2 linked regions of the Nothobranchius furzeri genome follow. The protein of the gene in region 2 binds, or shares a complex with, the protein of the main gene of each other region. Links are inferred from orthologs where the notes say so. Each region holds a gene or a part of one and is shown on either strand. Other genes may lie near its edges.

Region 1 (4,198 bases), on a different chromosome or scaffold from region 2:
TCTGGCCCAGCACGGTACCCCCCAGCGCCGTCCTCATCACCCTCACCTAATAAAAGGTGTGGCACTGCTCCACACAGCTATACCGGTAACCAGCCATGGCACCAGCGAAGAGACACACTTACGAGGCAGAGTTCAAGCTCAAAGCCATCGCTCACGCCGTTGAGCATGGAAACAGAGCAGCAGCGAGAGAATACAAGATTAACGAGTCGATGGTCTGCAAGTGGAGAAAGTTGGAAGACCAGCTGCTGCAGGTCAGTCAGTCAGTCAGTCATGCCGTTACCAGAGTTTAAATCTTCATTCTTGCTGCTAAAAGCACCCGTGCATTAAACTGGGCCATTTATGTTACTTTAATAATGAGAAATTTATTTTTTAGTATAGATAATGAGTGGAGTAACGTTTGACTTTGATCTAATTGCCCAATTTGCCTTAATTGTGCCGACCGGGACGCTTGTTTGCTTTGCTGGGTGCGTGTTTTGATCCAGTGAGCCTAATGTGCGGACCAAACCTTTAACTAGGACGCTGATTGGCTGTGCGCCGTATAATCAGGTGAGCCTTATGGTGCGGAAAATACGGCAGTTACTTTTTAAATGAATGAATCAGTAAAGTAACTACGTTACTTTTGGAAGGAGTAATCAGTAGTCAGAAATCAGATTACTATTTCAAGGTAACTATGGAAACACTGCTGACAGAGGCGTCAGGCTGATGAGCACAGGTACCACCGGTCTCTCTGAATCCCACCAGCAGGCAAGGTGAGTTAAGTGTCTAGCCCAAGGACACAACAGCAGAATTCTCTGTCCAGAGCCAGGATCGAACCTGCAACTGTCTGATTACCAGACAAGTCGCTCTACCTCCTGAGCTGCTGCTGCCATATGAGGCTGTTCCTCTCCACTTGCAGGATTAAAGCCATAAAAAACACACTATTGCACTTCTGGAACAATGCAGGGAGTAAACAAACCATTAGGTAACTTCTTTTGATGTAATCTACATAGATATGAAATCGCATTGCTGCAGTAGTCTTATTTTGAGAATTACCAGGGGTTTTACATTGAAACCGTGTGCGACTTCCTGTCTAGCCCTATGCTAACTGTGTAAATTGTTGTGTCCCAGATGCGGCTTGCTGCAAAAATAGAACCCATCCTATCTTTAGTGGCATGGCCAGCTGCTTCTGGGACGCGCTTGAAAATTTCCGCATAGTGGCTGGTTTGAAACCCCCCCATAGATTTTAATGTCTTCTCATTTGAAGCAGCGACAGTCCGTGCCACTGATGCTTCCAGTGTGAAGTATGGGTGAGTTTTCAGAGGAGGCAGGTGTATGTTAATTGGATCACATAACGATACAAGACCAAGCTTGTCTTGGCAAAACAATTTAACCTTTTTGTTGTTGGTTTCATTATTTTAGTGATTTCTTAAATCGAAGTTCAAATAAAAATGTGATAAATTGTACAGCTCTATTGTCACATAATGAAAAGAAAGCAGATCAAAATCAACACAAAAGACTCAGTAAGAGTTATTTTTAGACACAATGAAAGCTCGAAACCCACCTAACATTTCATCCTCAACTTTAGTATCAGACTTCTCCAAAACCTCCAACACCAGCATGGAAAGATCTGCTGCGCTGTTTTGCTGTAAAGTAAACCACAATGAACTCATGTTTGGGGCAGCATTATTGTCACAGAACGTACTGTAATCGGTAAACTTAACCCAAGCCACAAGTCAGGCTGTACAGTTAAAGTTATGGTTAATTCAGCAGGCAAAGATCAAAACTGTAAACCTGACAGCTGTTGTGTACATGCTAATTTCTAATGAAATGCAATTTTAAACATGAAATCTGCGGATGTTCTAGTCAAAAACGTGGGTGTGGTCTGTACCTGGTTGTAGCTGAAGAACAGCAAAGCACCGTTGTACATCAGCTCCCTCGCCTCTGCATGTTTTCCTTGTGACATATACCTGATGGAAGGCAAAGGGGAACGGAGTCGTGCACTTAAAGACAATCTCCTAAATCTCCCTAAGGCCAAATGACCATATACATCTGATAAAGTAAACGATAGGATTGTGACAATCAAGAAACGGACGGAATTAACTGAAAGAACATACATTTGAGGGAAATTGGCTTTAAACTGGGAGCTTTCTCGACAGCTTAGTACGTTTTTCAAGAGGGAGTAAGCAGTTAAGTCAGACCACAAAACTAGTATTCTACCATAGTAGGGTGGGATATGACATAGTTTATGGAATATGATATAGAAGTGAAATGCATCAAATCAGTCTGGTATAGCTCAAAATAAAACAAACTGTTTAGAAACACGTCGTTATTTCGTATTTTACTGCGAGGAGATAGCAGAAGGCTGCTTCCCACCTAGCGAAATGCTAACGCAAATGAACATGAATGTACTCGTTCACATAACTGCATTGTAAACCAACGAAAACAGTTGGTCGCTATTTTCAGTTTGTTTTCAGTATACATTTCATGATTAATACAGCCAAAAATAAGTTATCGTTGTCACATTTTACTCACTCTGCTAACAAAAAATTTGCTATCATCAGCTCGGTACTAGCGGTATCATTACGGTAAGCCAATAGCAATTGTTCTTCTAAAGATAGAAAGGATCACTGTCCAATCAAACACAAGAACCATCAAGGGAAGGCGGGACACAGAGCGAATACAACCAATCACGTACAAGCACCAGTCAAAGGTTTGACAGCGGAATGATCTGGAACAGGCCGGCCTGACCGTAACTACAAAAGCACATTAGAACGAACATATTGTGAAGTCTCACCTGAAAAATAAAGTTCTATACATTTGGTGGGCTTCATAGTAATCTCCCTTTTCTACGCTTGCTCGAAGCTTCCCTTCGACCCTCTGAACGCCTCCTCGGTTTCTAGCACTGGAGCACCTCAGGGACTCGGGCTCCGCCATAGCGATGCCTTTAGCAGCAGCAGCGACTAGCGAGAAGGTCCTGGCTGCGGCTCGTAGCAAGGGGCGGGGACGGGGCATACGGAGCAACTATAACATCGATGACTCTGACGACTTAGCCTTGTTCTTGTAGAGAGGCACTAAACTGAGAGGCACTATATTAAAAAAAATGTTTGTTCTTCGTATTACTTTTTTTTTAAATTGGACTGACTCTTCACAAAACAGCACACCTGGATGAACTGGGTCAATCATCACTGCGCCGCCTACAGGTTGTGCAGAACAGCGCAGCCAGGTTACTGACTGGGACCAGGAAACGGGACCACATCAATCCGGTTTTGCCCTTCCTGCACTGGCTTCCGGTCTGTTATCGTTCACACTTTAAACTCCTCGTCTTTGTTTACAATTTCTTCCAGGGTAGTGCTCCCCCCTATCTGGCCACGCTCCTGAACAGACATTCCCCATCACGCACACTGCGCTCCTCTGACCAAGGCCTGCTCGCTGTCCCTCGTTCTAGGTGTCGTACTCGTGGGGACCGGGCTTTCTCAGTCATAGCCCCGTCACTCTGGAGCCAGTTGCCACCCTCAGTCAGGCTATCCCCATCTCTGCCAGCCTTTAAGAGTCGCCTAAAAACCCACCTCCTCCGCTTCGCGTTCCCTGAATATGTTTGAGTTAGGCCTTCATTTATGTTAATTTTAATTCCCTGCTTTCATTGGTCTCTTTATCTCTTGTTTTACCCATTTGTTTTCTACTTTAATGTTTTTACCTGTTTTTCTCATGTACCGTGTTCAGCACCTTGGGCTTCGCGACAGGGTCACGAAAGGCGCTTTATAAATAAAGCTTGGATTTGGTTTGATTGATACGAGATACGTTGCTTGATTTCCTCTCGGAAGAGGTTTCTTTTGTCCGAATGCAGCAGAAAGGCATCTTGGTGCATGTAGGTAGAGGAGGTATCCAGAACTAGGAGAAGGATTAGAAGACTGCTTTCCTGGTTGACACCAAGGTCAATGATCTCATTATCACCGGATTCAGCATCAAACTCAGATCATACGCCGTGAACGGGGAAGAGTCCCATGACCTGGATGTCAGCTCCATAAAGCAACAGATGGCTGATTTTTTTTACAGACCAAGGGAACTGAGTTGGACTTTGGGAATATTGAGAGTTGCCACACTCTGTCCAGAAGAAACAGCAGAGAAAAAACAGCTGTCATCATGAAGGTTTGACATAATTAACCATGATTAAACCAGCATGACATCAGGGGGAAATCACTTGACTGGTTTAAAAGTGAAG
Region 2 (4,366 bases):
AGAATTTCATAATGTTATCCTTCTCAGCAGCAGCACTGCAGGTGCTCTCCATGTCCAAAATGTGCGTAAGCCAGGTCCTTAGTCAACTTAAAGTTGCGCACAATTTTCCGCAAAGTTTTCTTTCATGAATTCCAAAGTTTGCGTGGAAAATTGCTTGCGCAGTTTTCCAACCCCGTTGTGCGTGGCCCCTGGACTTTAAATATTCTGACTAAAACTGTCAGTGTTGTGCCGTCGTCCGGTAAAACCTCTTCACTACATTTAAATTTAAACCTGCCACTGCTATTGGCTAAGAGGTATGCAATGACGTTAGCTAGTACATTTTGATGTCACAATGCTTTTGTGAGCCTGTTTGTGTTTATTTGTTAGCGGCTCCGCTCTCTCGGTCTGCCAGGCAACAGCATTTGTTGCATTTTTCAAAGATGAAGTGGGAGTAACGTGAATTTCTTGTAGGGGGTGACTAACTCTTTAAAAAGCAAGTTGCAGGTAACATATTTTTTTCTAATTCATATAAAATGCTGTCCAAACATACTCTTTGAAATGCTTATTGTGGATATTTGGTTTAAAAACAGCAGTTTTCTAGTAAAAAGTGGCCTCTCTCAGCAAAGCTTCTAAAAAGGCTCTTTTTTTCTAAATCTGAACCTCTGATGTAACCAAAGGGAGTTAGAAGCTAGGCGCTGCCTCAGCTCTGTGTGGAGAGTGGGTAGTTTTAGGGTAGAGCGGTCATGTTATCCAGTCAGCGTGTGTGTTTACTAGTTTTGGATTGTGTTCATGTTGATAAACTATAGTTTGTGAAGGCTGTACCAACTCCAGCCTTTCTGGACATCGAGTCCACGGGTTTCCAGATAAGAGAAACTACGCCTCTATCTCACATGCCTGAGGGCGTTTTGTGCAGCTGAAAAGACGGGACTTCTGTAGCCCAAATCGGTTGGTACAGAGACAGGGAGGTCTGCGCTGGGCTCTGGAGACCCGTGGCAGGGTTTAAAAAAGTACATTCAGATTTCTGGAACTCAGATCACCGTCAGAACCAGGTCAGAACCGACCACCAGAAGAGACAGGCGGCTCAGCGGGCCAGCTGTTTTTTTTTTTGGTCCATCATAAGTATAATTACAAACATTTAAAGTTTCCTCTGTGTCAGAGCCGACATTAGGATCTACATTTTTCTCTAGATTAAGCTAACAGGACCCCGTCGGCTGACTTGGTTTGGCAAAGAAATAAAAAAAAAACTCTCTCACAAAAATGACTCTAAAAGCCTAAATAATTTATGAATGTGTAAAAAAAAGTTTAAAACGAGTTGCTATTATGTTTCTCTAAACATTGGTTTATTTGAGTCTCTAACCTGCAATTTGCTCTTTAAGCAAAAGCATTATTTATTTGTGGTGTTTTAATCCAGCTAAATATACAAACTTATACTCATTACTGCACCACAGTTGTGTTTTTTGTACAGGATTAAATAATGTAGAATAATTACTAGCCTGTTATAATTTTTGCTGCATTTTCACACCAGAAAATGGTTAAAAGCAGAGACAGAAGACTGGTTCTTTGTGTGAGTTTGGATATAAGGACAGGAAGCACTGAGAGGAAGTAAAAGAAGCACAAGCAACTGAGACGAAAGTGACGCAGTAACAAAGTTTAGGCAATTAACTTTGCATCAACTTCATGTATCATTTTTTAAATAAACTCACTGTTGGTAATGACATTTTCTGTTTATTTAGGAAACAGAGAAGGGTATTATAGACAGGTTTCTCGAGTCGCTAGCAAACATTAATGAGACTGGATTCAGCCAGAGGGAAGAATAATGAGATTCTTTAAGCTGCCGACTCAAAAATGAAACGAATTTCAATGAATATGTTATTCTGAAGGGCAAAGTTTAAATCAGGCTTGTGAGAAATGTAAATGACAACTTTTGAATTTGCTCACCGTGATTTCGTTGTCCTAATTTACATAAATTAGAAAATGTCTCGGCTGTGGTGCGCTGTTGGCTCAAACCCCAGACCTACTTAAATCTGTAAAATCATTATAAACAAGAAATTAAAAGCGTATCAATTATTTCTGTGTGTAGTAACACGGGATTGAGTTACGCAAGATCAGACTCTTCACATCTTAAAGACAAAGGTAGACGCCACAATGATTTGGGAATTTAGTTTACCTCAGCTATTAAAATACAACCTTTTGATTGTCACGCGACGGTGCTTTAAAAGATCGAAGTGTTTACAAATGAGTAAACACATCTAATTTCCAAATGTTGAAATTGAATGGAATCTGCACGTTTACGAATTAAAAACGGAATGCTTTGGTTTAAAAACTAAAGTTCTGGGTGATTTCCCTGTTACGATCACCATAGCAACCATACTCCAAGCTAACATTTGTCCAAGTCATACAGTCACGCACAACCTTCCACTTTAATAAATACAACCAATAAAGCATAAAAACGTGCATTTTTAAGGCCTCCTGTGACATTAGTGTTAACTAGCAGGACAGCTTCGGTAGAGATAACGTTTAAACTCGTCTCAGATGTTTATGTTTAACCGGTTTAACCCCACATAACCTACATAGAATGGTGTGTTTTGTCTAATTTCCTGACTAAAGAAGCATATATGTTCTCCCTTTACTTGCAAACTAATATGATAAATAACCATCGGTGTGCTGGCTACACCGGCAGTTAGCATCATGATGCGTTAACTCACCTGAATGTTACATTCCAGTCCTGAAAGCGGCTTCACCGTGATAATCATTATGAGAGCCGCAAAAATATCAAACCAAACACACGCGAAGAGGTTCAAACTTTAAATGATTTAAAATGTACCCAAATAACGTTACTTTAGTGGTTGGTAACGAGCAAACAGATTGTTCTCTTCTCAGTGGAACGTCTTCTTCTTTTTTCTTCTTCTGCGACTCTCCTCTGTTTCTTCTGCAGCTACTGCTTGCTCTCAACTGACAACAGCGCCACCGTCTGGCAGGAATATCTCAGCCCTTCAAACAAAACTGGAAAACAACAGAAATCTGCATTTCAAACGTAGAAAATTATGTTTAAAAAATCACAATTGATTCAAACACACTTGTGAAAATCAGCATATTTCACCTGCAGTAGTCGTCTAACATCAAGCCTATTCTGTCCGCCCGAGAAAATAAAACAGGCTTTTAATTTCACAGCCGAAATACCCCCAAATACCCCGATTAGACTTTTGTGAAACAGCTTCAAGTTTGCTTGTTTTAAATATATCGCCTTTGTTCTTATTTTTATTATGTTTCCTCACGAACTCACACTTCCATATTCGAGCAAAAATGAATTTGACACAAAACAACGCTGAGTAGCAATTACATTGAATTGCAATGTGTTGCCAAATAAAACATATAAAATAAATCACAGATTAACGTAAAACGGACCTATTGAAATGGAGCACAAACGCCTCATTGGACAGAAGAAGGAGCTATCAGAGTGCACACAGATAACCTTTGATTTGTTTTAGCTGGGGGGAAAGGCTATTCTCAGTTTGACGCTCCCCATTGGTTCCGATGGACTCCGAGGACCGTCTGACCCAATTCGGATCCAGTCCACGCATTTGTCATTACCTCTCCCCTCCCGTATGGATGGTCTCCGAGATGTTGGTCACGTGACTGCCTGTCTACGCTGCCTGCTCAGTCCCGGCCAGCAGGAGAAGCATCTTTCACTCGGGCACTTGCAGGAGAGATGTACACACCTGTCGGATGGACGGAGTCAAATAAGCACGCACTCACGGGAGTGAGGAAGAGGTACTGATCGATACCCAGACTGCACGTGGTAAGTGATGAGTGTCTGAAACACTATTATAGTCTTACTGGAGCATGCAAAACACATTTCATTTGTTATCTATCTATCTATCTATCTATCTATCTATCTATCTATCTATCTATCTATCTATCTATCTATCTATCTATCTATCATCTATCTATCTATCTATCTATCTATCTATCTATCTATCTATCTATCTATCTATCTATCTATCTATCTATCTATCTATCTATCTATCTATCTATCTATCTATCTATATATCATCTATCTATCTATCTATCTATCTATCTATCTATCTATCTATCTATCTATCTATCTATATATCATCTATCTATCTATCTATCTATCTATCTATCTATCTATCTATCTATCTATCTATCTATCTATCTATCTATCTATCTATCTATCTATCTATCTATCTATCTATCTATCTATCTATCTATCTATCTATCTATCTATCATCTATCTATCTGTCTGTCTGTCTGTCTGTCTGTCTGTCTGTCTGTCTGTCTGTCTACAGGTGATGGGAACTCTTCGGGACCTCCAGTTTGCCCTGCAGCTGAAGATCGAGGAGCTCCGTCAAAGGGACACGTTGAT

Evidence for each region. The genes of interacting proteins can lie anywhere in the genome.
Region 1: ubl4a (region 2) and get4 share a complex: the UniProt entries of both Homo sapiens proteins name them as parts of the BAG6/BAT3 complex. The link is inferred for Nothobranchius furzeri from reciprocal best matches to the Homo sapiens genes UBL4A and GET4.

Annotation. Positions count from the first base shown.
Region 1 is NC_091756.1:28,102,842-28,107,039, reverse strand, and holds the start of get4 (Golgi to ER traffic protein 4 homolog), read right to left. Parts: upstream 3,024-4,198; 5' UTR 2,992-3,023; coding exon 2,774-2,991; intron 2,762-2,773; exon of another isoform or gene 2,538-2,761; coding exon of another isoform or gene 2,512-2,537; intron 1,947-2,511; coding exon 1,868-1,946; intron 1,623-1,867; coding exon 1,541-1,622; intron 1-1,540. UniProt on the Homo sapiens protein: As part of a cytosolic protein quality control complex, the BAG6/BAT3 complex, maintains misfolded and hydrophobic patches-containing proteins in a soluble state and participates in their proper delivery to the endoplasmic reticulum or alternatively can promote their sorting to the proteasome where they undergo degradation.
Region 2 is NC_091757.1:40,380,084-40,384,449, forward strand, and holds the start of ubl4a (ubiquitin-like protein 4A), read right to left. Parts: upstream 2,923-4,366; 5' UTR 2,733-2,922; coding exon 2,685-2,732; intron 1-2,684. Other genes in the region: prkg1l (cGMP-dependent protein kinase 1), read left to right, coding at 4,293-4,366. UniProt on the Homo sapiens protein: As part of a cytosolic protein quality control complex, the BAG6/BAT3 complex, maintains misfolded and hydrophobic patches-containing proteins in a soluble state and participates in their proper delivery to the endoplasmic reticulum or alternatively can promote their sorting to the proteasome where they undergo degradation.